Linked DNA regions of Drosophila melanogaster. The protein of the gene in region 4 interacts with the protein of the main gene of each other region in a pairwise test. Each region holds a gene or a part of one and is shown on either strand. Other genes may lie near its edges.

Region 1 (6,376 bases), on a different chromosome or scaffold from region 4:
TTTAACTAAAAGTGCTGCCAACTAAAAGAGAGAGGTGGATAAAGGAGTAGAGTGGCAAAAGTGAAAAAGGACCGAGGGAAAAGTCCCTTCGAAAACAGGCAGGAAAAGTATCCTACAAAATCTGTTGGGCTTGTGAGGCAAATAAGCCTTGAAAAACTATCGATTATCTAAGAATGTAATGCTGTGTACATATAATCCCAATTTTTATTATCTTGACAAATAGTTTATTAATATTAAAAATCTTATTTAAACCAGTTCGATCGATTTTTGGTAATAAATTATTTTTAAGGTATATTGTTTGAATTCAAATGGCCTAAGATACCTAAAAATCACACAGGATACTTAGCCAATACTAAAAACTGCAAGACAAGACAAACTTTTGTTGGTCATTGAACTGATTGCCATTTTAGCCGTTGCCATATCGTGGCATAAATATCACAAAATGAATTTATTTATAGGTGCATAAAGACAACCCGACTGTGTGCACTGCACTTATGTGTGGATATTTATTGCAGGCATTGTTTGCCCATATTCCTGTGTTGTCTATTTATTTGCCGCCTTCCGTTTTGTCATTGTGTTTATTTGGGACTTTCTTTTTCTGGCCCAATCCGTTCTGTTTTGTTTTGGTGATTTGAAATCGATGCATAAATAATGGTTTATGCCAGCGGCTTTGGTTTCTCCTGATTTTAACATTTCATGAGAGTCCCATACCGTGCGTTACGCAATGGGAATGTTATTATATATAATGTTTATCATATATAATGAAAAATAAATAAGTGAACACTACAATTTCTTGAATCGTAATATTCTTGTTGCAAAGTACTTATATTTTCGAAACGTACTGTCCTTCAGACGACGATAAGGGCGGAAAATCACAGAAATATGACAAACTTTTTCAATTGCACAATATACGGGCATAAATTTTATGCAATAAATAGCAACCTAAAACAAGCCAACAAAAAGGCTCGGAAAAAAGGACAAAGTTGCAGTCGAAAACGGGCTAAAACAAAAGATTGCCAAATCAACAATCAGGCAAAAGGGCGCGAAAGATCGTGAAAAGTTTTAGCCGCTTTCGTGACGTTTGCCAATTGCTGAATTCTCGATTCCAATGACAATCGCCCCAGGGCGAAACAACAACAACGGGGAGAGTAATAGTGGCAAAAACAAGGTGATGGCACGCCCACTTAGCCAGCTGCCAGTTCAACGCGCCCAAAAAGGGCAAAAGGAGCGAACGGGTTTCGTCGCTTACGTGACTTGTTTCATAAACAAACAGAAGGCGCAGAAAATTGGCACAAAATTGCCAAGCGAATCCTTGCCAAAGGACCAAAAATTGGGGGGCCCAGGTGTATGGTCCGGCACCTCCATTCGACTCCTTTTGCTCACATGTCCCGCTGACATTGAGCGGCGTGAAAGTTTCGCCCATGGAGAAGCTCCATTGGCAATTTGGCACTTTTGCATACGAGTTGGTAATTGTTTCCGCCAAGCATTTGTGCAGCTGCAGATGGGACTGCACTGCGTGTCCTTTTCGCCGCGCTTATCATTCAAAAGTCGTGGGCAGCTGCGTTATCCGTGGCTCGGGACATCAGACATCGGGGTACGGACAGCTCTAAATGAGACATTGCAAGGACACGAAAGTTTTCTCATTACTAGACACACACTCCAGCACCCAAACGCCTTATGAGTTTTCCTTCCTTATCCAAAAATTGAGTAAAACTAAAATAATCAAGAAACGAAAAAAATGAAAAGTTGTCGCCACTTTGCTAACAGACAATGCAAAAGTGTGCAGTCTAAGAAAATGTTCGAACTTTATTTGGACGAGTAAAAAAACGCTAGTTTAAATGAAAATTTAATTTGCATAGCCACTCGTATTTGAAAGTGAAGGTGTTTTTTAAATTCCACATGTTATTTTATTGAGTTTAAAAATTAGTTATTTAAGCCCGTACTATTTTCAGTGGTAGTTAAATCTGAAGGCAGTCCTGCTGCCATGCTACCCATAGACAGGTGAATCAAGCTTTCAGCTGCCATCCAGCGAGGAGAATTCTGCGTGCGGCAAAAGTTTTCATGCATATTCAACATCATTAGAAAGTCAGGACAAAGTAGCTGAAGGCAGAAAGGCAAGAGCCTTCGTGGAAAGTAAAACAAACCCGTTTAGGGCGCTAAAATGTAGGCTATAAATTATGTCATAGGTATAGTCGACCTTTCTCCACGGAGCTTCCTTTCTTCCAGTCTGCCGTAAGTGGGCTTGAAAGGAGTGCATTTAGAAAGTTCTGAAAAGCGTCTTAATTGCAACGACGTTGGAAAATACCTGTAGAATTTAATTCTTCGCGCTGGAAGCGTATTAAATTCAGAAAAAATGTAATTACTTACTAAAAGGGAAATCCCTTATAAGCACCTATGGTATAGGAAAAAAATACACAAATTGAGAGAGTAAGGAAGCAATTTACTGAGTTGCATGTAGGTGTGAAAACAAATGGAAAATAAATATATAAATTTGCCATTCCGTGGGACCTACATGACCAGACAGCACTTTTTGGCCGGTCTGGCGGAGTGGCGATTCTGAAAGCCATTCCTTTTTTCCTCATCTAAAGGTTCCTCCACATCACCCACAGTTTCGCGAACTTCCATTGCCTGGCTAACTGATGTGCTTCCTAGCTTGGGATCATAGGACTCGGCTCCGATATTCATGGCCTGGACTTCGTCAAACTCCAGTTCGCCAACCTCCTCCTCGCCAGGATCCAGGCTGTAAACGAAACCCGGATGGCGCAGACCCTGCTGCTGCTGGATGCTGGCCTCACGCCAGATGGACTCGTAACGGGGCTCGTAGCATATGTCCTCCGAGGTTGCCGTACTCCACCGGGTGTACGTAGATACTGCATGGGTATTAAATTTATAAATCCATCAGGAAATTAAAAAGAAATAAATAAATGCACAATACTAAAAACCTATGCAAGTCAAAGCATAATATATATAAAGGGCTTCAAAATACAATATATATTGTTTTAAATAAACATTATTTCCTTTCCGTACTTACACTCATCAAATAGCTTTTTGGCCACCTGGCTGGCCTTGAAGTCGGGCACAAACACAGGTGCGTTGGGGTTTAGGCGTCGGTCCAGCGGTCGGCTAACGACGGGGGGCGTGTCGCCCGCGGCGGGCGGAGGGCAGCTGCCAGGAGTCGAATGGGCGTCACCCACTTCCCCTGCAAGTTCGCTGGTCGATGCGGTGGCGGTGTCCTTCAACATGGTCAGCAGAGCACTTAACACTTGAATAGTTTTTCAAATCTACATTTGAGTTCCGGCCGGACGATTTCAAGTAGCTTTTCTATTCTGCTTAAATGCTCAGTTGACAATTATGGCAGGGCAAACTACCTGATTATTTGATTTTCTTACCGGTATTCAGTGCCAAATATTAATGAATGACCAAAGACAGCCGCTTCCAAAATATTTTGCCAAAACTTTGGTATTGGCCGATTTTTGCTATGAGGGTGTTTATCTCTCAACGTTTGTCTTCACGAAGTAATTTGTGTTCCTACTATTTTTAATGCTTGGCCTTTGAAATTTAATTGGATAAGTAATGAAAAGTCAACTACGATTAAAGCTACACTATTATTTACATACACAATTTATGATTGCAGAACGTACAACTCAATTAAATAGAAAACTATTTCAAAAAAAGTAAGTTAACCATGCTCCTTTGTCCCGATTCCTTGTAATTTCTTTGAAATGTCAAAGGTTATTTACCTCCATTCAATTTCTGTTAGATTGTTATTTTGAGGATTTATGGGTTTATCCATCTTATTGGGGCTTAACCCGAAAACTGCTTCAAATCCATGCATGCCATAATTCGATTTCATAAATTTGATTCCACTTTCAACTGTCATGTTTGCTCCGCTTTTCTCGTTGCAAATAAAGTTTGACTTTTAATTAAATGGCCGAACTTACAATAATTTTAATAAGCCGTATAAATAAATTATAACAAATTTCACACAAAGTGAGATAAAATTGCCTAAAACTCATCCTGACATTCCATCTTGCTGGTGCGTGTGTGTCAAATTTAATTTTGTGAATACCGCAAATTGACAAATATTTTCGTTTGGCCAACAAGAAGAAGACCAAAAGCACCCAGCACTCTAATTCAATCTGGCTGGTGTATTTTAATTGATTTGCGCTAAAATTTATTGATTTCATTTTGTCAACAGTTGTTGCCAGATGAACCGCAAAGAACGCCTGAAAACCTCAGACCCATTCACCCATTCAGCCATTTGCCCAACTTGAGCTCATTATGGCAGCTTCAGCCCCCTTGGAACCCAATATTTGCATTCATTTTGTGTGTGTGCTAATTTGCATGTGCGAGTGTGTTAAAACATAAATTAGTTGACTCTGCCGACACACCCACACAATCGAATAAAATAAAGAGAAAGGGGTTAGAGAAAGTTTCAACCGAGAACCGAGAATTTATTGCCAATTCATTGCATTCGCGCTGCTGTATCGAGCGATTTCGCTAACCGAACAAATAGCGGTTTTAACTGTTTTTAGTTAATTGCGCAAATTACTTGCGCTAATTTATTGGCCATTTTGTGGAATAGACAAGGTTTTTCAGCTTATAGGTTTAGTCCGACTAATTTGTTAGTTTCTGAAGGGATGTTTTTTTTTTTTTTGACTTCTTATTCTATACATTTTGTGTAAAAAAATACCATGTAGTTCTTCCTGTTTCAATAACACTATTAAGCCATTTGACAATTATCTTCGACAGTCATAAATCCGTTAAATTAAATAAAAGGCCAAAGTTTATTTAGCTACTCAATCAGGGACACAAACAACACTCAAATTGTTGGACAGTTTCAGATTCAAATGGCAAGCGGTGGTCGAAGGGCAAAGTAAATAGATGAAACGAAGTCTTCGCACTTTTGTAAAGTTGCTGCTCAGTGTTGGCGTATTTCCCTTGAAGGAGTAACGTATCATATCTTTTATTCAGCTTTGAATGAAGAAGTCATGTCAGAATATGCCTCAGATATAAACCGTTAATATAAAAACGAATAATATTAAATTGTATTATATTACATTATATTATTTGTGAAGGGAAAGTAGCCAAGATGACAGCTCTGGTCGCTCAGCAGTCAGTCAGTCACCCACTTGGTCAGTCACATGGGCTGCACATTCAAGTGTCACTGATTTGAGGATAAGCACTTCACAGGCAACTTGATAGCCCCCCAATCCGGACCCCCTCCATATATATATGTATATACATATATCTTTGTGTATGTATGTATGCTGTAGTGGCATTGGAGCGGTTGTGCCGTGTTCCGACGGGTTGCTTGGTTGCCTGGCCAGTCAGCCGTGGTCGGGAAATATCACAGCAGTACTCTCTCTCATTCGAGGGCCACTCGTGCAAAGCGAACTAATTTGAATGTATAAAATCAGCAGCACTGCCGGGAAGCCCCACAGGGACAGACATACATATCCGCAATAATATATATAAAGGGACAGCAGATAGACAAACTGACTGACTAACTGACTGGTCGAATGACTGGCCATGGAGAGTGATGAAAACAAAGGCCATCATTAAGCGTTCCATCTTTGAGCGGCTTTAATTGATGTGCGTTAAATCGTTGACAAACTTGATTAGGAAGGCCAAAAGGGGTTATTTTTTTATTTGTTAAATTGCATAAATAAATTTCATTAGGCTGTAAGTGTCTTGAGCTCAATTATGAAATAGAAATTCGTTTTTATACCAATTATACTGCAAATAGCTTTTCTTCTGTGTGAACAATTTCTTGGAAACTAACATTTAAACGAATTGAACGTACTATTAGAAATGAAATATTGAATATTATTTAGGTTTTTTTGTCATGCATCCAAATATAGTCTAGACTCTCATATTTGCTTTTAACCCTTTACCCACGTTTTCCCTAGATGTTCATTTGGTCCGTTAGACCCGCTTTTCCGACTTCCCATATTTTTTATCGCCCGCCTAAGCAAACACACATAGACAAGGTGTCCAAATTACTGCCGGTTGTTGGTGTAGTCTTGCCACATGTTTTTGCTGTTGCAGCAGGGTTGCTGGTGTCGTTGCTTGGTGTCAGTGTTGCCACCTTGTTGGCGAAAGCAACTGCAAAAACAAGAAAAGCTAGAAAAGTCTCTATAACCGAAGCAGAAACCACTCTTACCTAAAAAAAAACTAATTTTAAAAACGGCACTATAAACTTTGGAAAATATTAAAAAGAAGGTTTAAAACAATTATACATATATTTAAATCACTTTAAAGGCTATTAAAATGAAGATGGCTTTAAAAGATTAAAACTCCTGCTGTTAGGGTATAGGAAGAGAAAACAGCGACTCAAACAGTTGCAAATGTTGCATTTGCATGCATGGCCAGT
Region 2 (8,140 bases), on a different chromosome or scaffold from region 4:
TGACGAGAAAGCGGAGCCGAGTCAAGAGTGCTTGAAATTGAGCGCAATGGCTCATCTTCGCTTGTTGTTCTTTTTATGGCATAATTATGTAACATAAATTGCTAAAGTTTTTCGCGCTTAGCTGCGTTGCCATCTTGCCGGAAGATTGTTGTTGGCGTTGCTTTTCTTGCTTTGCCACTGGGCGGCTTCGTTTAAAGTTTAGCCGCCCTTGTTGCCATTTTCAATCTGTGTCGACCAAGTTAACTTGGAGTGAAGTTTACAGCGGAGGTAACAAGCAGCAACAGAATTTTCCGCCGTTGTCTGCATTTGTTTTTCCCTGCTGGTCTTCATTTTTTGCCACTTTTACCCACTTCAGGGTCCTTCGCTTTGTTTTTTCCCAGATTATGCCGTGCTTAGTGCGTTTTTATTGCGTCTACATTAAGTGTGCATTCTTTATGATTCGCCCGGATTCACCCATAGTTCAGCCATAGTTCAACCATTTTTATACAGATGCAGGTACGCGGATATTTACTTAGTTTCTGCTCTATTTTCATTTGCCACTTGAAGAAGTTCAAGGGAGTTTGTGTCAAGGGATTTGGGGGCAAAACACAAACGAGCGCAAATGGACAACTTGCGTGCATATCCATCCAGTTGTCCCAGTTGTATTTATTATATTTACATTTCGTACTTTTTGTAATGGTCCTCCGTTTCGGTGCCTCTTTTCAGGGAAAACCAACAAGGTGGCTGCCTCCCAGGGCCATGGAAAGCTGAGCAGCGTCAACAAGTGCACAAATGAATATCATAATCAACCGAAAATGGCGCTGGCGAAGACGAGTTCCGGCAAGTCCAAGTGCGGCAAGCAAATCTCCAGGCAACTCGAAACAGTTTTGGTGGACCAAAGTCCTCGGGAAATCAGAAGAAAGAGTCAGCAGGGGCAGGAGCAGGAGCAGGCGGTGCAGGAGGCTGTCCTGCCACGTTGCACGCTGATAAAAGTGCAGCATCAGGAGGCCGCTGTCGAGCACTTTTCGGAGGAAGGTCACAACAATATGCTCGTTAAACCAAAGTTAAAGTTGAGTAAGAAAAGTTGGCGGATTACTGGGCCAGATCAAGACGGATTGCGCTGCGATGAAGTTGCCACCATAAATAATGGTGTCCAGGTGCAGGAGCAACAGCAGCAGCAGGAGCGGCAGCAGCTGGGGCATGAGAAGTCAGCAAGCAGCGAGAGCGAGTATCAAAATTATCATTGCCCAACTGGGAAATCATGCAGCAGCCACAGTTACCAACTTGGCCAGCCAGTGGCCAACAAATTGTCAACAGTCGCGATGCAGGCGCTGGCGGTGGTTGAGAACTCGGGAGGTGCATCCTTATCAGCGGGGAGCCATAAACAGGCGCCGGCAGCCGGAGTAAATCAGGAGCTGCCACTGGAGGCGGGGTCAATAGGTCGGCGGGAATGGCAGTTGTTGCGACATTTGAGCGGCGACCACCGGCTGGCAGTGTTGCAAATCTACGGCACGTTCGGCGAACGCTTGCACGTCCGCCCCCAGCTGCCCCTGGAGGGCGTGGCCTGCCTGCGGCTGAGCGAGGAGTCCTCCACTTTTGGCCACGTCAGAGTGCACACATTTTTCTTGGCTGTCATTGCGATCGGCGGCGGCGATGAGCACGCCGTCTTCCTGTGGCACCTAGACCACCTGCCACATGGACCCACTTTCGAGACTGTCATCGAGACTCCGGGCCACCGATTCCTGGGACCTGCTCACTCGCTCCGGTGCAGCTGGCCGGAGATTAGGGCATCCGGCCAGTTCCTCACCCTCCGCAATCTGGCTGCCAAGTGCGAGGTGACCATCAAAAGCAGGTAGACCCCATCATGCACCCAAGACTGGTCCCAAAACATAGGTATTCTAAGCTAATTAGCAGGTAGTAATCGTGTTTAAGAGCTTTGAGGCAAGTTTAAGAACTGATGGCTGCGAAAGCGGCGATAGAGCAAACCAAAATGCAATGAACATAAAATAAGAATAAAATGTGAAATGTATGCTTTGTAAATTATATTTGCATTTTTTCCATCGACCGCGTATTTATACGAAAAATGCAAAACGCAATTTGGAAATGTGTTTAATTTGCAATATTTTTAATTAATAAAAACATTTAGAAATGTGCTGGCCTGGCAGTTTGAAAGTCCTCGCCATTGAGTGTCCACGTTGAGCTCAACAACCTGCAGATGCTCTATAAGAGTAGCGAGCTAAATTAATGGTTTGTATGGTACTTTAATGAAAAACAAAATAAATCTTTCTGCGCCATATGCGATTCTTTTGGAATATCATGACCCATTTCAAGAGTATCTCCATTAGTCCTTGCATCCTTATGGCGGAATAATAACACCAATGTTTGTGCAAAAGAAATTGAAAAACTGAAAACTGAAAACTCAAAACAGAAAACTGAATACTGAAAACTGGTAACTAGCGCCTGTCTGTTTGCTGCCTCCTGATAATTGACTTGCATGCAAATTAATGTTTTTTGCATGTGGGCGTAAATTGCTGCCCTGTCTGACAAACAGTAAACACGGTCAATGCAGCGGCGAGTCATTTTCATCAACGCGCCGCTGCACTATACATAAATCTCTGCCCCATCGATGTTTACCATATTTAAGGAAAAAATTCCAATTTGATGCAACAAAAATCACGGCACTGTAACAACATGTGTGTGCGTGGCAAATAGAGCGAGAAAGTTGTATTATCCTTTTTGCAGCGCCCCGCACCTCACAATGTCCTGTTTTTTTTGAGCCATCATCATAGTCATCATCATCGTCGTCATAATGGCCATCTTATAGAGTGAGAGTGCAACTGCAACTCCATACAGTGCAAAAAAGTGTGTGTGCATAGTTAAAATAAATTAAATATTTTCGCAAACGACACTTTTTTTGCGCAACAACGTGTGGCACCTGATGAGGAGATGATCTGACTGGAGCACTGGATAATGGTGGTGACGTCACTGCGATTGGTTATCTTTGTCATGGGGCTGGTTTGTCCATCAGGTAAATTAAAAATATTCCAGCGAAGCAATTAAATTACAGCCACGGCGTGGGAGTGGCCACGGCGCCCAATATGATGAGCAACGTCAAAATGCAAATTGTCAGAAAAACAATTTGCAAGACAAGCGAAACTCTTTTTACTTCAAGGAAATATAATTGCTTTCCAAGCTCACAAAAATTAATAATTAATAATAAAAACAATATAAGGTAGTTTTTTTTTTAATACCATGTAAACGCAGCTGGCAAACTAAAGCGCCATCTATGGCACAGAATTGCCGCCCCAATGATAGAGCTCAAATGGGGCAGGTCGCGCACATTTCCCTAAAAAAAAGTGAAAGCGTTTAATCATTCCGACACTCACACATGGGAAATGCGCTATGATTAGAGGTCTATTAATAACGCGGCTATTCGGCGCCTTATCTAGTTCAGATAAATTATGATTACATGACAATTATTTATCAGCTAATTGGCTGCGCCTTAGAAAACTATGGGCATATTGAATCGCAGATAAACGAACCCCTTATAAATATGTAAGTGCTTCCAAACAGACCCCACCCCCACCCCTCATTTCACCCAACCCAGAAACCAACTCATTCCGCACTTTTCGCTCGACAGCAATGAAAACAGAAGGTTCGCCTTCCGCAGAGCTTGTTTGTTTGCCAATTAGTTTTAATCGAAGAGCGCTCGCTGGAGCTGCGCGAATCGGCAATTGCTTGTTTAAATGGCTTTTGCTTTTCTAATTAATGCGTTTGGCAAATATTTGCCAGTGCATGAGCTGTAATAAAAAGAAGCTCCAAGTGCTCAAGTTCCGGGGCTACTACACTATTTCATTCCGCCTTTCCGCCGGTCGTGTCGCGCGTGTTCCGTTCCCTGCATATACTATACTATATACTATATATCCACTCGATTCGCAGCTAACCAATCTCTTCAAACCGCGGCGTTTCTCTTTGGCACTCGTCAATTTTGAGCCAAGAATAGCCATTTGGACTACGTCATCGTACTGATTGCGTCAGCAGTTGTCGCTCTTTGGCATTATTTTCCGCGTTTTTTTCACTCAATCACTCAGTTTTGTTTTGTTCTCTGGATTTCGCCGACATTCGACATGAGCAGCGATTCCGGTAAGCGATTCTGGCAGCTTTCGATACTCACTTTCGGCGTTAATTTACGAGTTTATGGTTAATCAATTAAATGCCACTTTTTGCCCAAGTGCCAATAAATAAATCGTGTGCAAATATGTTCGGGCTTCCACAAGTCAAATTGTTGGGAAATTAACTCTTTTATTTATATACTTGGGACTGGAAAATAAGAATGGTAGAATGGAATTATCAATATTTTTTGTTTGATTAGCAACCCTTCGGCTTTATCTATCATGCGTAATTAAAAATGTTACCAAATAGCTTGAGTCAATTTTTTTTGTGGGAAAAAAGTATGAATATAAAGCGATTTTAATTTTAATATCATACAAATTAATTTATATATATATATATATTTTTTTTTAGATATATTGGATGTAGTGGCAGGCAGTGAGGGTCCACCCTTGCAAGCCTTTCGCAGCAGCAATCCCTTCGAGGACTCGTATCAAATGTCCTCCTGCCAGCAAGATTTCGAACGCGATCGTGATGCGAACTTGACTCCATTGCATATGCTGCGTCGAGCCAGCGAAACGGTGACCGCCAGCATCCTGGAGCCGGAAAAGGAGCACCTCCTTGGCGACAAGCCACAGGTGCCCCCTCGTGCCCATGGAAGCACCGCGCCAAGCGCCATCGAAGGTGAGTGATATGTTTAATTGCACCGCGTCGTCATGGGGAAATTCGAAAAATGCGGAACGAAAGTATTTGTTACGGAAATTCTTGCCTTTATGCAACCAGCTCCCCGGATCAGTGTGCACACAACCCGCAGACAGGACGGCAAAAAGGATGCTGAAGACAGAGACATCCAGTGGAACAGCTCCATGCCAACGCTTTGTTGGCCAGCCAAGCGAAGTGGCTCCGACAGCCAAGTGCACAATGCGTGCTCAGATATGCACATATGCACTTCAGCACATATACGAGTATTCATAGTTTGTTTATGCAAAGTTTTTGTTTCGCCGTCGAGATATCCTGGCAGAATCACAGCTTTTTCTCTCAACTGGCAGGAGCTGATTGAGGCATTTCGATTTTAAGTGAACCGCACAATCACATCTTGCACAAGATGGCGAAGGCGGGCGGGGGACACAGGGGCGTATACGTAATATTTCCGCATATTGACGACAGAGTGTCTGCGATTGACAGTCCAGTGCATCTACCGTCCCGGCTCAAACTCAAAGGCAGGCATTTCCTACACATTCCTTCTGATTTCTGGAAATATGCAAGGCTGTGCCCTGCTGGCCATGTGTGTGGACCACTTTCGTTGGCCGAGCTTTTTGTTTACGCTCCTCTGTTTTGGCAGGTGGCCCTTGCTGGTTTTTCGCCCACAGCCGAGTAGCTAGTATTTTTGAAACTCCCAGAGCAGCAATTGTTTTGCATCTGTTCAAATGCGGGTTTTCGCACCAGTCCATTGTACAACTTTTTGGGAGAATTGGGGAGAACTTCCCTTTGGGCCATCGCAATTGTGGCATTTTCACACGAATAATGAGCCAGTTTAGTTGCGCCCAAATGCCCGCAATCATACAACTAACACGAGTGGCAAAAGCCCGCGGCTCTCGGCAAAGTATGTTCCCATGAATATGCATTAACCGGGGCTCATTTCCTGTGCATTCATTTCGCATTTGCTATTCGCTTTCACATTCGGAGTGCACCACTGATTCTGATTCAGATTCCGATTCCGATTCCGATGCCCGTTTCCATTTCGCGTCTGACTCTGATTTGACTGTGGAAGTCATATTTAAATAAGTTTGCGCACCGCTGCAGGCAGCACTAATGCTCGCATGTGCAGGCACTCGTTTATATTAAATAAATTCCATTTAAATGCAGCGTTTGGGGCAATTCCTCAAGCTCAACCTTGAATGGCACAGCCCTACCATCCACCTGCCCCATCCACATTTCACCTGTCGCTTCTGCTTGTGAGTGAAACGGTGACATTTCTGTTAACTAAAGCCAACATGATATACGCTTGGCACACAAACATGCACTCGTCTATTGATAAATGCAGTGCATTGCGCATTCGCCTCATGCGCCTGTGTGTGTGTGTGTGCAAGTCAGTTCATTACGTATACGCAGTGTGCGACATTTATAAATGCCAGCTAGACTGTGACTCAGCATAATGATTGCCAAATGAATGGTAGAATGTTAACCGTCACGAAAACCCTTTCGACGCCATTTCAATTGGCGCTGGTGCGTTTCGCAGCTGTGTTGGCCCACTTTGGAGGCTTGAATACTTTGGCTAAATCTGAAGGATTTGCAGGCACTTGCACTTGCGCCACAGCTAATTACTAAAACTGCACTTAGTCGCCCCTCCCGCACTTAACCTTTGACCACCTGTCAGACTTTGGCTGCTTATTTGCCGAGCTGCAACGGGGGTTTTTTTTTTCAATTTGTCTCTGGCTCTTTTATTTACCAGCATGGCGCTGAATGGCGCTTTGTGACCTCATTTCTCTACCATTTTTATATAGTTTACCAGCCCGGAGCCAAGAAAGTGCCAGTTTCCACTGATTTGCGATGTATGAGCACTAAATTCGATGCGAATCGCTGGGGCGTGAGTTCATCTCTTGGCAGGAAGTGCGTGACAACGGAATGCAATCTTCTTCCACGCAAAGAAATTATTTTCCGAATGCGCGCTGCATGTGGAGTTGCAAGTCGGCATCAGGATTCAGGACGCGGCAAGGATGCCGGCTGGCATAGTTAAAAGGTGGTACGCTTAAGTAAACATAAATAAAATAAATGTGTTCTGAGTACGGGAAAAGTGATTTGATATATAAGTACGCCCCAGACGCAGAAAGAGTTTCAGACTTCAGACAGCAGGAACTCCGGGCTCCTTGGCGTGGAAGAGCACGGAATAAGGAGAATAAGGACTTCTGTCATCAGCGAGCGCAATTTTCCGTTTAAACATATTGAAAAAGCACCTAACGTTCGCCTGTAAATAATGAATAGTTGAATAACTGATATAAATTACTGGGGATACACATTCAGTAGACCGTCTTGCCGAGCACTTTTTATGGCACTTTTAGCTGAAAAAACAATCTAAATGTTAAGTGACAGCAAAAAAAAACTTCGTTCAACTTTGAGCAGAACTATAAATTCTCCATCCTTAGACCTAAGTGAACTTTTTCAAAGTTGTTTAGTTTTCGGGCCGACGTCGTCTGGAAAAGTGTTTGCCTCGCTTCCAATTAACACCTCAGATTCGCACTCGTACGCAATAGTCCGCACATGACAAGCGGATGACAAAAACTTTGCAGATGCAGCTGCAACTGTAACTGGAGCTCCATGGATATGGCCATTACTTTTTTCCATCAGCACATTCTGCGAAGGAGTCCTGCTCCGGCTCCTGCTGCGCTTCTTGCGACCAGTGGCATAATTTGTGTGGAAACTTCTTGGGCAATTGAAAAGCGAAATGCGAAATGCGAAAGGCATCGCAGTGCCTTGGCTTAAAATAACTTTTGCATTATTTTCGTGCCTGGTCACTTGAAAGTTGCAGAAAATATGACAAGATAAAATGCCAAAAAAGTGCCCCGGGCAAAGTGGGCGGATGGGATTGGTGCAGTGATAGGGGGGCGTGGTCGTGGCCCCGGAAACTGCCAAAGGTAATAATCAATGGGGCGGCGTCCAATGAAGCCTTAATGACCTGCCCAACTTGCAGTTCAAGTTGGCTCAACGGCTTCCCCTTTTTCTCGAGTGCAGCGCATGAATGTGAAATATGAAATATCACAGCAGCGGCAGGACCTCCGAAAGTGCTGCCTTACAATACCTGAACGCTATCTTCGCCGACACCTTTGCACAATTTATGCACCATTTTTTTTTTTTTTGCCAGGCAGCTATGGAAAAAAATAGTAAAAGTAAGTGCCGCAAAAACTTTTAAATGAGGCACATAATTCAAAAAGATGGAGAAGAAATCTTGCCTCTGTTATCATTTCATTCCCTTCCACTTTCCCCTCACCCGAGCGCCATTTCAGTTTCGGTTTTTTAGGGGCGGGTAGATATTTTAAATTAATTAGCAAAACTT
Region 3 (6,559 bases), on a different chromosome or scaffold from region 4:
GGGAACTGCGCTTTACTTGACGTGTAATGTCTGCTATTTGGAGCAGAAACACTAATGGTCATTAAGCACACTGGTAAACCCGCTTTCCACATCCAATCCCCAGCTCCGCGTCCCAGCCTGGCCAACGGCTTCAACTTCTTTAATCGGAACTTCTGGAGTTTCGGCCAGCAGAGTCTGGTGGCAGTGCGTCCGCCCACCAAGCAGGCCCATCCGCCGAAAAAGTTTAGTCCCAAGGACGAAAAGTCCGGCCAACGAAAAGTGGCCAAGACCACTAGGAAACCGATGGATCAGAGAACGAGTACAACTAGTCGAAGCGCAACAACAACTAGCACACAAAAACCCACTACAGATGGACCCTTTCGCATTGCACTGCCCACCTTGAACTTCCCACGCGACAACCAGGATAAGAACAGGGATAGGGAAACGGAGAAGGGCAAGAGGTCGGCTGCCGAGCTGCGCTTGAGGTTCGATTGTCCGCGGGAGAACGAGGTGAGGTTCCAGCTATTCCCCAAGATCTGCAAGGCGGATCGAGACTGTGCCGTGTGGCAACGGGATGAGCTGTGCTGTGATATCTTTGGAGCAAGCAGCTGTGTCTCTGGCGTTCCAAAGCCGCTAGAGGAGACTCCACATGCTCGTAAGTGGGTTTAATCCTTAGCTGCTATAGATATTATTCAATTTATTGCTCTTGCTAGCCATTCTGGGCTTGATACCTCGCAAGTGCCCGAGTAGACCGCTCGCCGAGCTCTGGTGGGACGTCCAGGAGTGCTCCACAGACATGGACTGCTGGCCAAGGGTCTGTTGCCCGGATGGGCGTAGGAGATACTGCCGCACCTCGCAGCCGGAGTTGGAAACAGCTCCAGTGCCAGTGAAGCGATCCTTCGACTATCGTAAGTTAAAAGTTTTCCGTATGATAACCGAAATCAATCGAAGCCTTGCGCTTTTCCAGTTACAGAGTACCTGGAGTGCACAGCCCCGCCGCCGCCCATCTTTGACCTTCATCCCAAGGCGTGCACCTCCACCTTGGATTGCTTTCCGAATGTGTGCTGCCAGGAGGCGGGACTGCGCCACTGCCGGCCGCCCAAGAAGTCCGTGCTCACACTGATGGCCAACTTTCTCAACGTGGACTTCGTGAAGCGACTGGCACAGAATATCGTTATCAAGTAGGGCGAACCGTGAATTTCCCACTATTTTTCAACGTGCGTCGAGCACCTTCGACAGAACCATTTCGAAACCGCCGTGAAATCTCGCCCGGGTTTGTTTGGCCACGCTGATAACCAAAAAGAAGATATGCCCACACCCATACCATTCATAGACATACATATGTATGCACCTTTGTATACTGCGCACCCCATCCATTCGTAATTCTCCATTAAGTATTGTTCACCTAGCCTAGTATTAGACCTAAGCTGCATTCGTAGGCTAGCAAAGTAAATAAAGTATATATGTATGTATACGAACCATAAACTCCATCTGCGGCTTTTCCACTGGAGGTCTGAGGTGGAGGTCTCCCGTAACCCTACGCCTCCTAGGTCACTTCACCCGACTGCCGTGGGGTTCTTGTTCTTGACTTATTTCGTTGGTATATCGTTTATATGCCGGGTTCTTACACTTTCATGTTAATTGCGCGATCATATTACATCTAAAACTATATGGCACTTTTGCGCTATAAACGAGGCATTTCACAAAACAGACTGAGCAATAATAAGTCTACAATCATATATTTCTATGAATCACCTATAAAATAATGGAAGCCGATTTAAATATGAACTTTCATTACCCATTTCGTTGTTATGCCTAAAATCGTTTTAAATTTGATAGGGTAATATATTTTTATTATTTCTAAAGCTAGTATTCTTTAATATTATCCATTCGATAGCGGCTATATTCTAACGCCCGCAACTGTATTTTTATCTACAAGTCATGAGTTCAAGCCGCTGTGCTTTGAAACTCAATCCCTCAGTCGCTTCAGAAGTGAGGCATCTCAGATTACCATATTGCTCAACTGACTTTAGTGTTATGTACATATGTATATGCACATTGTGGAAAACACTTGACCATCCCATTTCCACGACGCATATTGCCGACCACGTAGCTAGAAGCTACCTCCAATAAAAGCGAATCTAACCTAGAATGCCGCAGACCAATTGATTATGCAACCCGAAAAGACGCAGTTAGGCATCAATTACTTTAATTGGACATTTATTGCAGGGTGTGTAGAGAGACAAGATGCAGCGCCTCTACTCCAGATCTTTTTTGGGGGAAAGCTCACTCGGAGCAGCCGCAGGCGGATTTCTTGTCGCCGCCGCACTTGCAGTCAGATCCGCAGTTGCAGGATCCCTTGGTGGCCTGGCTGGCGCATTTGCATCCTGGAAAGAAGTAGAATTTAAAAATTAGTACATGCTGGTACATCCTGTAATCCATAAGCCATATAACATTAGTGTTCCATTTTATAAAACGCAGTTGAAGAACTTCTTTTCTTAGAGAGACGAACTCAGAGATTTCACTTTGCAGATAGTTTCAGCTTGAATTTTTATACTATTGAATCACCATTGAATTTTTATACTAGTATAATACCATTTCTCTGAAAGATCTGTGATATCCTAAAGGATCACACCAGACTGCGAACTTACCGCTTCCGCATGGGCAAGGCATCTTGATTGAGTTGTATTTCCTCGAACTTGTTCACTTGTTTACAAAAAAGGTAGGTATGGGCTATTTAGGCCTTTAGTTGCACTGAGATGATTCACTTGATTTTGCTGCTGACCACAACTGATGCACATTGGCCAGATGCTCTCGGTTTTATACATTTTGGAAACGCGGCTTTACACACGGGTCTTTCGTTCGATTCACCTCTTTTGCACACGCCGGCCGGCTCCAAATTCGAGTGGAGACGTGTGCAGAAGCTTTTGTTCTGCCCGCGAAGAATTGGTTCGGTTCTCCACTTTGGGGACTTGTATGGGATGCAAAGCTCTTGGTGGGGCACATGGGGCATGCGCAGGCACTCTTACTTGCGTACCACATATGTATGGGGGTGGCGGTGGGCGGTGGGGGGCCGGAGTTCTGGGTCTCTTATCGGAACCAGAGGATAGGACGGCCTGCAGCAAAGAGCTAGTCACATCGGGCACCACATCCTGTCCTGCAACGAATTCCAGTGCAACGAAATGCAAGTAAATACTGCTACGCAATAGTTGGGACTCCCACAGATCCTTTGGGGCCATCCCAATTAACGGGTATATGGATGCGGTGGCCATTACTGGCTTTTCCCTCGATTCTCGCGTGTGGGTGGCAAGTGCAGTGCAGATAAAATCGATAAATCCAAGCCAAAATAAAGCGAGGAAAATCCAAGAGCAAAGCGCGTGAGGTGTACGAGGTGGAAAAAAAAACACATACAAAACAACGAGTGTGCGGGAAAACAAAACGTCGGAAAATCGCAAGGCGAGTCGGTTGAAGGGGGCGGGCCAAAGGTGTCACACGGGTCCACCAGGACAATCAAGCGGAAGTGAGCAGTTACGGCTAGTGTGTATTGTGTGTGTGTGTGTGTGTTTGGGGGCGGATGGGATAGAAAACCGTTCCGAATGGGACACTTGTCTTCAAAGCAGGCCTATTTATACCGCACCCGGTCATGGGCAATCATAATCGTGGCGATAATGATGAGGAGAGGCTGGTGCCGATCAGTGCCAGTGGAGCGAAAAATCAATACCCTTCCTTGCCACATGTCTAAAATTAGCGGGATACTCTCACACACATTGTTTGCCGTTATTAAATATACTATTAAAAAGGAGTTCTATCAACTTTGATAAGGAAGTTGTAAGTCAACCAAGGAGTTATGCGGGTTTATATAATAGAATCATATATAATATAATCAACTCATTATCAATTTAAAAGGTTCTTAGAGTTTTTTAGTGTAAAGGAATATACATTTTAAAACCAATTCAACTAATAAAGTGTGTTAACATGCCTACTAGTGTATATCACCATCGGCTTTCGGAAGTTAACTTTCTTTCGCATTTTGTTTTTGTTGCGGGACCCTAAAGTGGTAGTGCCACCCACGCCCACGCCCATCACGTCCCTACCACCCACATCCACCAACTGGCGAACCGGAAAGGTTGTGCGTGCGTGGGCGTTGTGGCCAAGCTGATTTGCTCTTAATTGTTGCAGATAAACGAAAGCATGGCGCCCAAGTAGAACATTCCACCAGCGCCCGACAGCAAGCCAACAAGCTTCAGCTCCTGCTTCTCTCTATTCCGATTTCCACTCCGAGTTTGATATACGCGACCGCGTTCGACCCACTCGAATCCGTATCGGTAACCGGGATGACGGAGCAGAAGAATCAGGTGACGCGCGCTGCACCGGAGCAGAGCAACGATTACCGCGTGGTGGTTTTTGGAGCCGGCGGCGTGGGCAAGAGCTCACTGGTGCTGCGCTTCATAAAGGGCACGTTCCGCGAAAGCTACATCCCAACAATCGAGGATACGTACAGACAGGTGGGTGGGACGCCTGGTGCTAGAGATTACTCACATAATCCGCTGGTCTTCGCACAGGTCATAAGCTGCAACAAGAACATCTGCACGCTGCAAATCACGGACACCACGGGATCGCATCAATTCCCGGCTATGCAGAGGCTGTCCATCTCGAAGGGGCACGCCTTCATCCTGGTCTACTCGGTGTGCTCCAAGCAGAGTCTGGAGGAGCTGCGACCCATCTGGGCGCTTATCAAGGAGCTGAAGGTTGGTCCACTGCCTGACAATCATTTCTCATGTACTAATACGTTGTGTGTCCACAGGGCGCCGACATTCCCAACATACCCGTAATGTTGGTGGGCAACAAGTGTGATGAGACCGCCGAGTTGCGAGAGGTTAGAGGATGTTCCATCTGATCCGTCATATACATACATGCTTAATCTAAGATCTAAGTTACAATCTTCAAGGGGGATTTTAAACAGAAAAATCATCTCTTTAAGAAAACCTCTAATCCAAATGTGCCATCCACAGGTCTCCCAAGCGGAGGGTCAGGCCCAGGCGACCACCTGGAGCATATCGTTCATGGAGACGTCGGCCAAGACGAACCACAATGTGACCGAGCTGTTTCAGGAGCTGCTCAACATGGAGAAGACGCGCACCGTCTCCCTGCAACTGGACACCAAGAAGCAGAAGAAGCAGAAGAAGGAGAAGAAGTCCAAGGACACGAACGGCTCGATACCGGAGAACGGCGATGCGGGGGCCAGCGCCAGCGGCGGGGCCAAGGAGAAGTGTCGCGTTATGTAAGCATCGGATGGCCAAAGAGCCAGATGGCCAGATGGCATGGCCATGTGACCCGGGTCACATTGCGTCGAGCTGAAGTGAACGGAGACGACGGTGACAGACAAATACTCGCCTTGGGGCAGCACCCTTGGGTGGGGGGTTGCTGGCTTAGGTAGCCACCCACACGGGCCACGCCACACCACACCACACCACGCACCGCACACACCACTTACACCATACCACATACCACACACAATCCCCACTTTATCCACATATAGAGTTACATGCATAACGAGACACTTGTATTTAGGAACTGACTGGATAAGTCGCACCACGATTGCAATTACGATTACGAGTATATTTTGCATAGGTTATATATTCTATTCGAGCCGATCAGATCTTTCTAGTCGCACAGAGACACGATACCACGTACTGCATACATATATACATATATACTAATCCAAACACACCACGGAAACTAACCCTAAGTTTGCACATAATCGCATCTGAAACGTAACGGCATACATATCAAATGTTTACATACTTACATACATACTGCATGATCCATCAGCCATTCCATAACCAGATATCGAAACGAAATCGAACGAAGCTATACACTAATATCTCTAATGAAAGCCAAAGTACCTACTTAAAGACATAGAATCTGTATCTACTACGATATGATAACAAAATATTTACATGGATCCATCAACGTAAGACTTCTCCGTGATCGCCACATAGAGAGCATCGCGAGGCAACCGGAAACGGAAGTGGCCGCAATTGGCCGAAAATGGCCGATGCCTCCCCCTGACTATCATTGCTGTTTAACTATTTACCACCTAACCAGAATAATACCGATTCGGACGATTCGCCCCGATCGCCATATAAGCTAATGTATAAAATACTCAAGGCCAACAACACCGACAGCCCACAGTCCGTAAAACAGATGAAAGAAGAAATTCGCAATGGCATTGTGTTTTTTGTATTATATTAAATATGTATGTACAATTTTACACTTATTTGCTGAACTTTATTGAGCAGCTTGAACTTTCTCAGTAGTAGCCAGATCGATCAGTCAGAGAGTTAGCCTAAGTCAGAATCACGTTTAAGTACAATTGCATTCGCATTCATCGTGTGAGCCAAGTAACGCGTACATCGAAGGATATTTGAAGAGCATATGGTGCACTTTTTGCAGTAGCGTAGATGGGATATAAGTTGCCTGTTTTTAAAACACCTACCTATCTATCTATATGTATGTATGGATGGATGTATCGTACGTACGTATAACATAACACAGACCGTTCCCAATTGTGGTATTC
Region 4 (9,640 bases):
TTTTAGGTTAAGTGTTCATACTTACGAAACATTAATTTCAATCAGTTAACTTTAATCAGCGCCCAGGTAAAATAATTTCATTTATTATTTATGTTTGTGTTTTGTACTGCATGTCTGCTTGCTTTTTAACATATATTGCTGATCCTGCTGCATGTCCTCGTGTTTGAATAGCGAATCCTAAACTCCATCTATGTACTTATACATCCACACCAATCAAAACATTTAATACATGTACATGTTTTAGTTAGATTATTATTCGTGCGTGTCTCATATGGTGAAAGTAATTACGAAATTAATATCAAATATTTTGTGTGCGTCCACTGAGTTACATTTGTAGGAGACCCATGCCAAATTACACTGCTATACAAATTACTAACGACATTTTCGACCCTTTTGCAACAGGTGAAAACGTACAAAATGGCGATCATTCGGAGGCACACTTGAGCACCTTCTCGCAGAGCAGTAAAGAGGTAAGTACATCCGAACTGATCCTGCGATCCAAGATCTACGGATCTCTTCTTCAACTCGAACACTCACAAGCAGTAAGCTGGGTGGTAAGCGATTAGCAAGTAGAGTTGCTACATCGACAAGACAACCAGTTTTAAACAACATCATCATGCATTGAGCTAACCTCATTTGATTTACTAACCGAAGCGCAACCGATATTCTCACTGCAAATTTCTATTACGGTTCCAGGATGTCTCCACGGACGGATCCCCCAAGAAAGACAAGAAGAAGAAGAAGGGTCTGCGCACACCATCGTTTTTGAAAAAGAAGAAGGAGAAGAAGAAGGCCGAGGCCTAAGCTGACCATCAGCGTGATCCGTAGGAGTAGCAATCTTGACCAACCTCCCACCATCAGCGGGAACCGAGAAAAATAACGACAATGATACCACGAGAAAATGGAAACTTTAGCCAGATCAGCAAAAGAAGCATTATATAAAAAAAAGAGAGAGGCCTAAACAAGCAACGGATGAGCAGCTAAAATCGATCGAGATGCATCTAAGGGGAAATCCCCCTCACCCTCCCTTAATTCGCATTCACAGCTTATATCTATTATAATATAATTCTAATTTTTAATTTATACGATGGCCACGGCAACACACCCTCCCCTCCACACACACACACACACAGAGAGAGATAAATGCAATTCACACAACAATTTGTATGATAAACGAGAATGAGGTTTGCAGGTGTACACGCAATATCCGACACCGCCGCTTTGTCCTAAACAAGTAACTTGCAAATATCTTCTAGATGTATTAGCTTATAAAATAACTACGCAACACACCTTACTACATGATGACATGGTAAAGCAAATGAACAGATAAAAAAGGGTACAAATTCCCAGGCAACTCTAACGACAAACAAAGATTTGTTTGAAACAAAGGCAAACTTTTGTTTTTAGACACATACGTACAAGCGTGGTACATGCATAATACTTAAATGCAATATTTTTTTAGAAATGCAATAAATTCGATGACAACAACTACAATTTGATATTCTAGGCATGTGTGTGTTTTGTGAAAGCGCGTTTTATGTTTTTGTGTTCTTTTGTTTTGTTTTTAAATTCCGGGCAGCCACAATTTGCACACAAAACGAATAAATAATTATTGTATACATGCAGCAATTGTATTAGTTTTTTATATAAATAATTATATATTTTTATGTACGTAAAACTGTTTATACATACATATACATATATATATTTATAAAAACCAATAAATTATGAAGAAAACGAAAATCCAAAAATACACCACGCCCGCATTAAAACATGCGATTACTCTGAGGAAAGCAGAAACAACACAATCACTGAGAATGGTTGGAATTTTCCAAAAATTATCTCCAAGAATCAAATTTCAGCATTTCTTTTGTAAGTAGATGTGCTTGATTTGTAATCGCTTTTCCATTTATAATATTCAAATCGATGAATAACGAATACTGCAATTAACTATATACGACTGCCATAGCATGTAAAACTTTAAGGCACAACTTAAACGCATTTACATTTCAAATTAACTGACATAAAATTAAAACCCCGATGATTAATGCCAGATAAATCGAATGTTTCTGCTTTTCCTACCCAAACCCACCACCACATTGAAAACACTCTCTTTACAACATAATACTTGCATTGCTGAGCCTTAGACAAACAAACAAACAAAAAAAAAAAACGGCAAAATATAAAGTATAATTAAACTGATTATTTGCGCAACGACAGAAGCTTATTTCTAGCAACTTTTTTGCGTCATTAAGGCGAAAAAGTCTGTATAATTTTGTCCTTAGATTAACATTAGAAATATGTCAATATTCTCACTCTGTGCAAATAATAAAAAAACTTTTGAAAAAAGCAAACGAGAAGCCGAAAGTTTATTCATAAAATTTGTTTAGAGTGTAAGAAAATGCATATAAATATATATTTAAATTCGTATTATACACAAGAAAAAACACGACACACACGAAGAAGTAAACACGTAATAAATAAAAACTTGAAAATTGTACAAAATTCAAAAGTATTTGAAAAGAGGTTTTTTTTATTTGTATTTATTTTTTGAGTAGTCATTCCAAAAAATGTAACAATGGTTTTGCATTAAATGTTTATAATGTTTGAGAATTTAGCATATGATTTAAATCGAATTTGAATAGTATCCGGTTTTCATAAACGAGGGCCCACTGTTATTTATGTTTGTTTTTCACCGAAGTGGCATCTCTGATCAGCTGCATATATTATCGTTTCTTTGTTGTGTTTATATGTTGTGACTCAGTGCGAAACCGTGATAAAACCTGAGAATTGAAACGAAATTTAGTCGGTCACCAAAATTACAAGTGTCAAGATGTCCCTGGTTTCAGATGAGGAGTGGGTGGAGTACAAGGTAGGCCCAATATGTCCTAGCAAGCGACGCAATATTTAGAAATCACTTGATTCCACCATAGTCCAAGTTCGACAAGAACTACGAGGCAGAGGAGGATCTGATGCGTCGTAGAATCTACGCCGAGTCCAAAGCCCGGATTGAGGAACACAATCGGAAGTTCGAGAAGGGCGAAGTGACTTGGAAAATGGGAATTAATCATTTGGCTGATCTCACGCCTGAGGAATTTGCCCAGCGTTGTGGCAAAAAGGTGCCGCCAAATTAACAGAATCTCAAGTGAATCTCATTTTAAATAGACATTTTGTAAAGACACTAATCTCTCTGTAATTCTATAAATATGCATTTGAATTTTTAAATCTTTATCGTTCAACCACCCCCAAATAAACAATAAATCAGCTGTTTTGTACATTTTAAAGATTTTGGGATTTTTGTGTTCTGGCCACTTTGGCTGGGAGAAAAACAGTTCATTAGGTTTTGGTTCAATGAACGAAGGTTTATTTATCTCTACGATATATGCAAATAAATACGTACGGCTGAGATGGTAAAATTCCATTCCAAAAATATGTATGCTTGTACGCGGTATCTATATACATTTTGAACTTAAAGCGGATTAACGCCTTTCTGCGATGAACTAGTTCCGGTTCAGCGTTCATTGAGCGAGTCAGTGAACCGAACTGCAGTGCCGACGAGCGGCAGTTCACACACAACATTTGAAAGTTTGTAAACTTTTCCTTTTTCGATCACATAGACACATCGATACACGTAGTTATTTGTTTTTATTTTGTACCAACACCAAACACCCCATCTTACAAGCGCGTAAAACCTCGTTTTCGGTCCAATCTCTTGCAGAATCTTGCAGTAGAACCTCACAGCCCAGCCAAACATGTCCGGAATCATGCGTGTGCCATCGATTTTGGCCAAAAATGCAGTCGCCTCCATGGTAAGTAGTCCCCATTTTGGAAGTGAAAACCCAGGCTCCTCTGTGGCAAACGAAATGATTTAAGAGTGGTTATACAACCGGGTCTACACAGAACCCAGCCAGCCAGCTCGTGATGTGACAACAGAAAAAGACCAACGAATTGGCCAAAAACGCGCCACCCGTACTTGTGTTATGTAATTTGTGAGCAAATTGTGGGACACAGGTGCATTAAATTATTCCCTTTGCTAGATTATATTAATTTTCATATAGCGAATATCATTCCAAGCAAGTGTTCAGCAATTTTGCGGATTTTATAGTGGAAAGCTAGGTGTGCACCAGCGAGGTTATGTTATGCTGCCGCCCCGCCCCCTTCATCCATGCTCTCCTGCATCGACGATATCGTGCATTTGGGCATTTCGTGCAACAAAATGCAGTTGAAACACTTGGTTTTGGATGCACGACACGCCTTGAAAAGCTTTATAAGTACCGCTTAATCGGAAGATTCACAAAAGAGAGGATAGTAGTATATAGTAAATCAAATGATTGGCAAGCGGAGAGAGCAAGCGAGAGAGAGAGAGAGATGGAGGCACGTCACAGAACTAACAGCTGATTATACAATGGAGCTAATTGATCGCCGTGCTGATCTACCCCGCCCCCTTCCACCAAAAAACCCCGGCCGAAAAATGCCAGTTCAATTATTTCATTTGTTTATTACATAAGCAGTTATCACTGCAAGTCGCTCTTTCTGTTTTTATCAACTTATCTTGCCGACGTCACCAAAAGATACTATCTCAACTTGTATCTACACCTTTTTTTTGCATTTAAATTTAACTAACGGCCGAAAGTTTAGTTGCAACAACGTTTTGTGCACTTTCCGGTCTTAATTTTTTGGAATTTTCTGATAAGATAACACTAAGCTATTTCAGATACGTAAATAATGTGGGTATTCGTGAAACTGAAAATTTCTATTTAATTAATAGATATTGAGAAAACATTCCCTTTAAGAAATGACAACACAGGCAGTAATCTTTAAGTCTGAGTTTACGTAATTTTTTTCGCAAACGATTGTGAATTATCGTTGAATGACTAAAGCAAACAATAAGTTGATAGCTTTATTGACAACCCCGGCTTTCAACTCTGAAAATATTTTAATCTATAGATCCATTTTCTATATTTATTGCTTTGGGGATATATTTGACTTATTTTTCATGGAATATGATCCAATCCAATATGATATTTATTTATCCCAATTTATATCTTGCAGCAACGTGCCGCAGCCGTTGGAGTGCAGCGCAGTTACCACATCACACACGGCCGCCAGCAGGCCTCGGCGGCGAATCCGGACAAGATATCGAAGCAGTACCCGGTGGTGGATCACGCCTACGATGCGATCGTCGTGGGAGCAGGAGGAGCCGGCTTGCGGGCGGCTTTTGGCCTGGTGGCTGAGGGATTTCGCACGGCGGTGATCACCAAGCTTTTCCCCACCCGCTCGCACACGATCGCCGCCCAGGGCGGTATCAATGCCGCTCTCGGCAACATGGAGGAGGACGACTGGAAGTGGCACATGTACGACACGGTCAAGGGCTCCGATTGGCTGGGCGACCAGGATGCCATCCACTACATGACCCGCGAGGCGCCCAAGGCTGTCATTGAGCTGGAGAACTACGGCATGCCCTTCTCGCGTACCCAGGACGGTAAGATCTACCAGCGCGCCTTCGGTGGACAGAGTCTGAAGTTCGGCAAGGGCGGACAGGCCCATCGCTGCTGTGCTGTGGCTGATCGTACTGGTCACTCGCTGCTGCACACGCTATACGGTCAATCGCTGAGCTACGACTGCAACTACTTTGTGGAGTACTTTGCCCTGGATCTGATCTTCGAGGACGGCGAGTGCCGTGGTGTGCTGGCCCTGAACCTGGAGGATGGCACACTGCACCGATTCCGCGCTAAGAACACGGTCATTGCCACCGGTGGATATGGACGAGCATTCTTCTCCTGCACCTCGGCGCACACATGTACCGGTGACGGTACTGCTATGGTTGCACGCCAGGGACTGCCCTCTCAGGATCTGGAGTTCGTGCAGTTCCATCCTACTGGCATCTACGGCGCCGGATGTCTCATCACCGAGGGCTGCCGCGGTGAGGGTGGTTACCTGATCAACGGTAATGGTGAGCGCTTCATGGAGCGCTATGCTCCTGTGGCCAAGGATCTGGCCTCTCGCGACGTCGTCTCGCGGTCGATGACCATCGAGATCATGGAGGGTCGTGGCGCTGGACCCGAGAAGGATCACGTGTACCTGCAACTGCACCACTTGCCGCCCAAGCAGCTCGCGGAGCGTCTGCCTGGCATCTCCGAGACCGCCATGATCTTCGCCGGTGTTGATGTGACCCGTGAGCCCATCCCCGTGTTGCCCACCGTGCATTACAACATGGGCGGTGTGCCGACTAACTATCGCGGCCAGGTAATCACCATTGACAAGGATGGCAAGGATGTGATTGTGCCGGGACTGTATGCCGCTGGTGAGGCTGCTTCCAGCTCGGTGCATGGTGCCAACCGTCTGGGTGCCAACTCTCTGCTGGATCTGGTGGTCTTCGGACGTGCATGCGCCAAGACCATCGCCGAGCTGAATAAGCCTGGTGCACCGGCTCCCACCCTCAAGGAAAACGCTGGCGAGGCCTCTGTTGCTAACCTCGATAAGCTGCGCCATGCCAACGGCCAGATCACCACCGCCGATCTGCGTCTGAAGATGCAGAAGACCATGCAGCATCATGCTGCTGTGTTCCGCGATGGCCCCATCCTGCAGGACGGTGTGAACAAGATGAAGGAGATCTACAAGCAGTTCAAGGACATCAAGGTTGTCGATAGGTGAATATAAAAACAAGTATTTTTTTGATTCCCTCTAACATTCCTTGACTTTAAAGGTCGCTTATCTGGAACTCCGATCTGGTGGAGACGCTGGAGCTGCAGAATCTGTTGGCCAATGCCCAGATGACTATTGTGAGCGCTGAGGCGCGCAAGGAATCGCGAGGTGCCCACGCCCGCGAGGACTTCAAGGTTCGCGAGGATGAATACGTAAGTTACTGTCGGCACTCAGCCCCTGAACTTCTTATCATGGAACAACATGTATTGCAGGATTTCAGCAAGCCCCTGGATGGTCAGCAGAAGAAGCCCATGGATCAGCACTGGCGCAAGCACACGCTCTCGTGGGTGTGCAATGACAACGGAGACATTACGCTGGACTACAGAAACGTGATCGATACCACGCTGGACAACGAAGTCTCTACTGTTCCACCAGCGATTCGCTCCTATTAAATCAAGACTTGGAGTTGCAGAACACCCGCATATACACCCCATACCATCACTCGTACGGATGTCTACTTAAACGTCTTTGTGGGCGCCAGTAAATAAATTTTGTCAAATCGCCAAATGAGCCGCAATATGCTACCAATTGGTAACTGGGAACTCGGCAGCGGTTCCGGGCATTTTGTGATGAAACGTAAATCCAGATTTTCTATACACCTATAAATCTTTCAAATCCTTATTACTACTCCGCTGATTCTACTTAGTTTCACTGTAAGCTGCCCTCCATTTGGTTACTGTTTGGTTGTCGGTTATTTACATTATTACATAAGCGAAAAATGTGTGTGAGTAGACAACGAGTTAGGTCTGAGGCGATATTGACTACGCAGCCTGTTTAGAAGCAAATGAAAACAAATCCAACTACACTTTTCTAGTATTTGTTAAACTTATTAAATTATTAAAACGAAAACGTGTAAAAACAATAAAAAAAGAACAAAAGTCGAAACGTTTGCTATACATTAAATAAATGTAATGAAGATTAAGTGCGCAACTAAATGACTTCTTCACTTAGCCGCGGAATACGTGAATTTGATTGGCCTTAACATCCAGTTGACTCAAAATATCTAAGGCAGCGGTATTGAATCCACTTGGTCCGCAAATGAGCACATAAGTACATCTTTCCGGTTGATTTTTCTGGAACAAAGGGGCTAGCAGCTCCAGCGCTATTCTTTGTGGATTATCCTCCGATTGGGAGACATAATTTGTGCAGCTGAATCTTTCGTCGTCGGTGTGTAGTTCATGGAGTTTCTCCTTTAACCAGATATCCTCATTGGTTTTGTTAAAGTACAATAATTGTAAGCTTTCACTGTAAATGTGGGAAATAAGTAAGTTTTTTTCGGGACTGATTTTTAAGAACTTACATTCGGTTTGTATTTCTCTTCAAGATGGGCTGAATTAGGCTCAGAATTGGCGTTAATCCGCTTCCCGCCGCTAGGAGTAGAATATTTCTATGTGCAGTGAGATCAGAGAGCTGGAAGGATCCACGTGGCGCACTCCAATGGACGCGAGATCCAGTTTCAAGCTTTTGCAGGTGACTGGAGACGGGTCCGTTCGGATACCTTTTGATCAGAAAGTGTAAGCATTCTGATCTGGATGATCTGATGTTCTCCAAACGTAGATAGGTGTGATCCACTGGTGTGTAGCTGCGCTGAATTACCCGTCCCTCTAGTGGGACTTCTATATCCACATGGTAACCAGCCGGCAGGACCATCAGAACCTTCTGCCCAACACTTTGCAGACATAGTTCAAAGGAGTCGTGATTGAAATCTTTGCTGTGAACTACTTCATACTCGAAAGTTTCATCATGTAATCGGCTAGAGTCTAATCTGTTGGACACATGTGTTCCATACGTTGGCCATGGTTCCGCTTCCTCCTTGACAAAAACTAACTCAATTTTCCCCGTCTCCGAACCGATTTTCGCTAACTTTGGAGGCCATTCTACATTGTTGGTCAGTTGAAAATCAAAGCTGTGCCAATTGTGCTGGACTAGAACCCGCACACTCAGTTGCTGGAGGTCCTTCCGCCGGACAACCAGGCCTGGATTAGCCAGGCTGCGCGTGTAGAAGATCAGGGTAAGTTCGCTCCTCTGCTGAATCCAATCAAAGCGTGGCACTATTTCCGGAGGCTGCAATATCACATTGGTAATCTGTGGACTTTCCTTGGCAGGTTTTGTCTCATTATCTTTTAGTGGTCCCACGTAGCACTTTCCCAACAATTGTGGATAGTTCACCCACGCGTGCACCTCATCGAACAATTTGGTGGCATCGCGACCAACACCACGCATTAGCTCATCCACTCCGCCCGGATGAAAGTCCATGTAGCGGGTGACATTGAAGACACGACCACGAATGGCCATCCAGGCGTCGTCGATCTTGTTGTGCCGGGCCAATTCCGTTCGCGACACGGGCACCAGACGCCCTCCGGTTCCCGATAGATCCGCTCCAGAATTGCACAGCCGTATCCAGTTCATCAGGGAGTAGCCCGGCTTTAGGGCGCACTTGTTGCGCGGATTACCAGTGGCCGATCCAGAAGCGGATGATCCATTGGAGTTCAGCTTCTGTGGCGCAGTGACGGGCAACTGCAGGCCACCGCCGGATCCCGCAGGAGCCATCAATTGGGGTGGCCTCAGCGGTTGGTTACTGGCGGGTGGTTTAAGGGACGGATCGGACATGATTAGTCCAAGAAAAAGGTAATCGCGCAAAAATCAACAAGCTGTTTAGTGAGGAGTAGTGGAAGGCGAAACAGCTGTATTTTGCTTTTGGTTTCGAGAACCAGTTGCGAAGTCCAAATGAACTAGTTCCACGGATCTTGGCGGTTCTATTTAAAAATGCCACCATATAGCTTCTTTAAAGAACACTCCATTGGAGTGGGTTTAGGTTGAAAATAAATAAAAGTTTATAAGTAACTCTTACAGTAAATGATTATTGTAATCTGTTTAAATATTCTTAGATAGATAAATTTTTTTTTAATAAGATGATGGATTTACTGAAGCATTA

The links.
Region 1: the proteins of SdhA (region 4) and CG15136 interact in a two-hybrid assay, tested with the Drosophila melanogaster proteins (one large-scale study listed by BioGRID).
Region 2: the proteins of SdhA (region 4) and Nha2 interact in a two-hybrid assay, tested with the Drosophila melanogaster proteins (one large-scale study listed by BioGRID).
Region 3: the proteins of SdhA (region 4) and MtnA interact in a two-hybrid assay, tested with the Drosophila melanogaster proteins (one large-scale study listed by BioGRID).

What each region holds. Positions count from the first base shown.
Region 1 is NT_033779.5:17,044,740-17,051,115, forward strand, and holds CG15136 (uncharacterized protein), read right to left. Parts: upstream 3,543-6,376; 5' UTR 3,390-3,542; intron 3,330-3,389; exon of another isoform or gene 3,327-3,329; 5' UTR 3,243-3,326; coding exon 3,032-3,242; intron 2,871-3,031; coding exon 2,509-2,870; 3' UTR 2,422-2,508; downstream 1-2,421.
Region 2 is NT_033777.3:22,994,147-23,002,286, reverse strand, and holds the start of Nha2 (Na[+]/H[+] hydrogen antiporter 2), read left to right. Parts: upstream 1-3,758; 5' UTR 3,759-4,106; coding exon 4,107-4,122; intron 4,123-4,501; exon of another isoform or gene 4,502-4,503; coding exon 4,504-4,773; exon of another isoform or gene 4,774-5,833; intron 5,834-8,140. Other genes in the region: CG34375 (uncharacterized protein), read left to right, coding at 706-1,835.
Region 3 is NT_033777.3:9,781,594-9,788,152, forward strand, and holds MtnA (metallothionein A), read right to left. Parts: upstream 2,778-6,559; 5' UTR 2,653-2,777; coding exon 2,631-2,652; intron 2,367-2,630; coding exon 2,266-2,366; 3' UTR 1,814-2,265; downstream 1-1,813. Other genes in the region: CG12947 (uncharacterized protein), read left to right, coding at 104-634, 693-887, 947-1,164; CG8500 (uncharacterized protein), read left to right, coding at 4,314-4,484, 4,542-4,727, 4,784-4,855, 4,992-5,264. UniProt on the Drosophila melanogaster protein: This protein binds cations of several transition elements. It is thought to be involved in detoxification processes.
Region 4 is NT_033778.4:19,389,856-19,399,495, reverse strand, and holds SdhA (succinate dehydrogenase, subunit A (flavoprotein)), read left to right. Parts: upstream 1-3,524; 5' UTR 3,525-3,631; exon of another isoform or gene 3,632-3,718; 5' UTR 3,719-3,752; coding exon 3,753-3,809; intron 3,810-5,052; coding exon 5,053-6,650; intron 6,651-6,706; coding exon 6,707-6,857; intron 6,858-6,917; coding exon 6,918-7,097; 3' UTR 7,098-7,633; downstream 7,634-9,640. Other genes in the region: cer (crammer), read left to right, coding at 2,834-2,872, 2,934-3,134; CG11257 (uncharacterized protein), read right to left, coding at 7,653-7,950, 8,006-9,315. UniProt on the Drosophila melanogaster protein: Flavoprotein (FP) subunit of succinate dehydrogenase (SDH) that is involved in complex II of the mitochondrial electron transport chain and is responsible for transferring electrons from succinate to ubiquinone (coenzyme Q).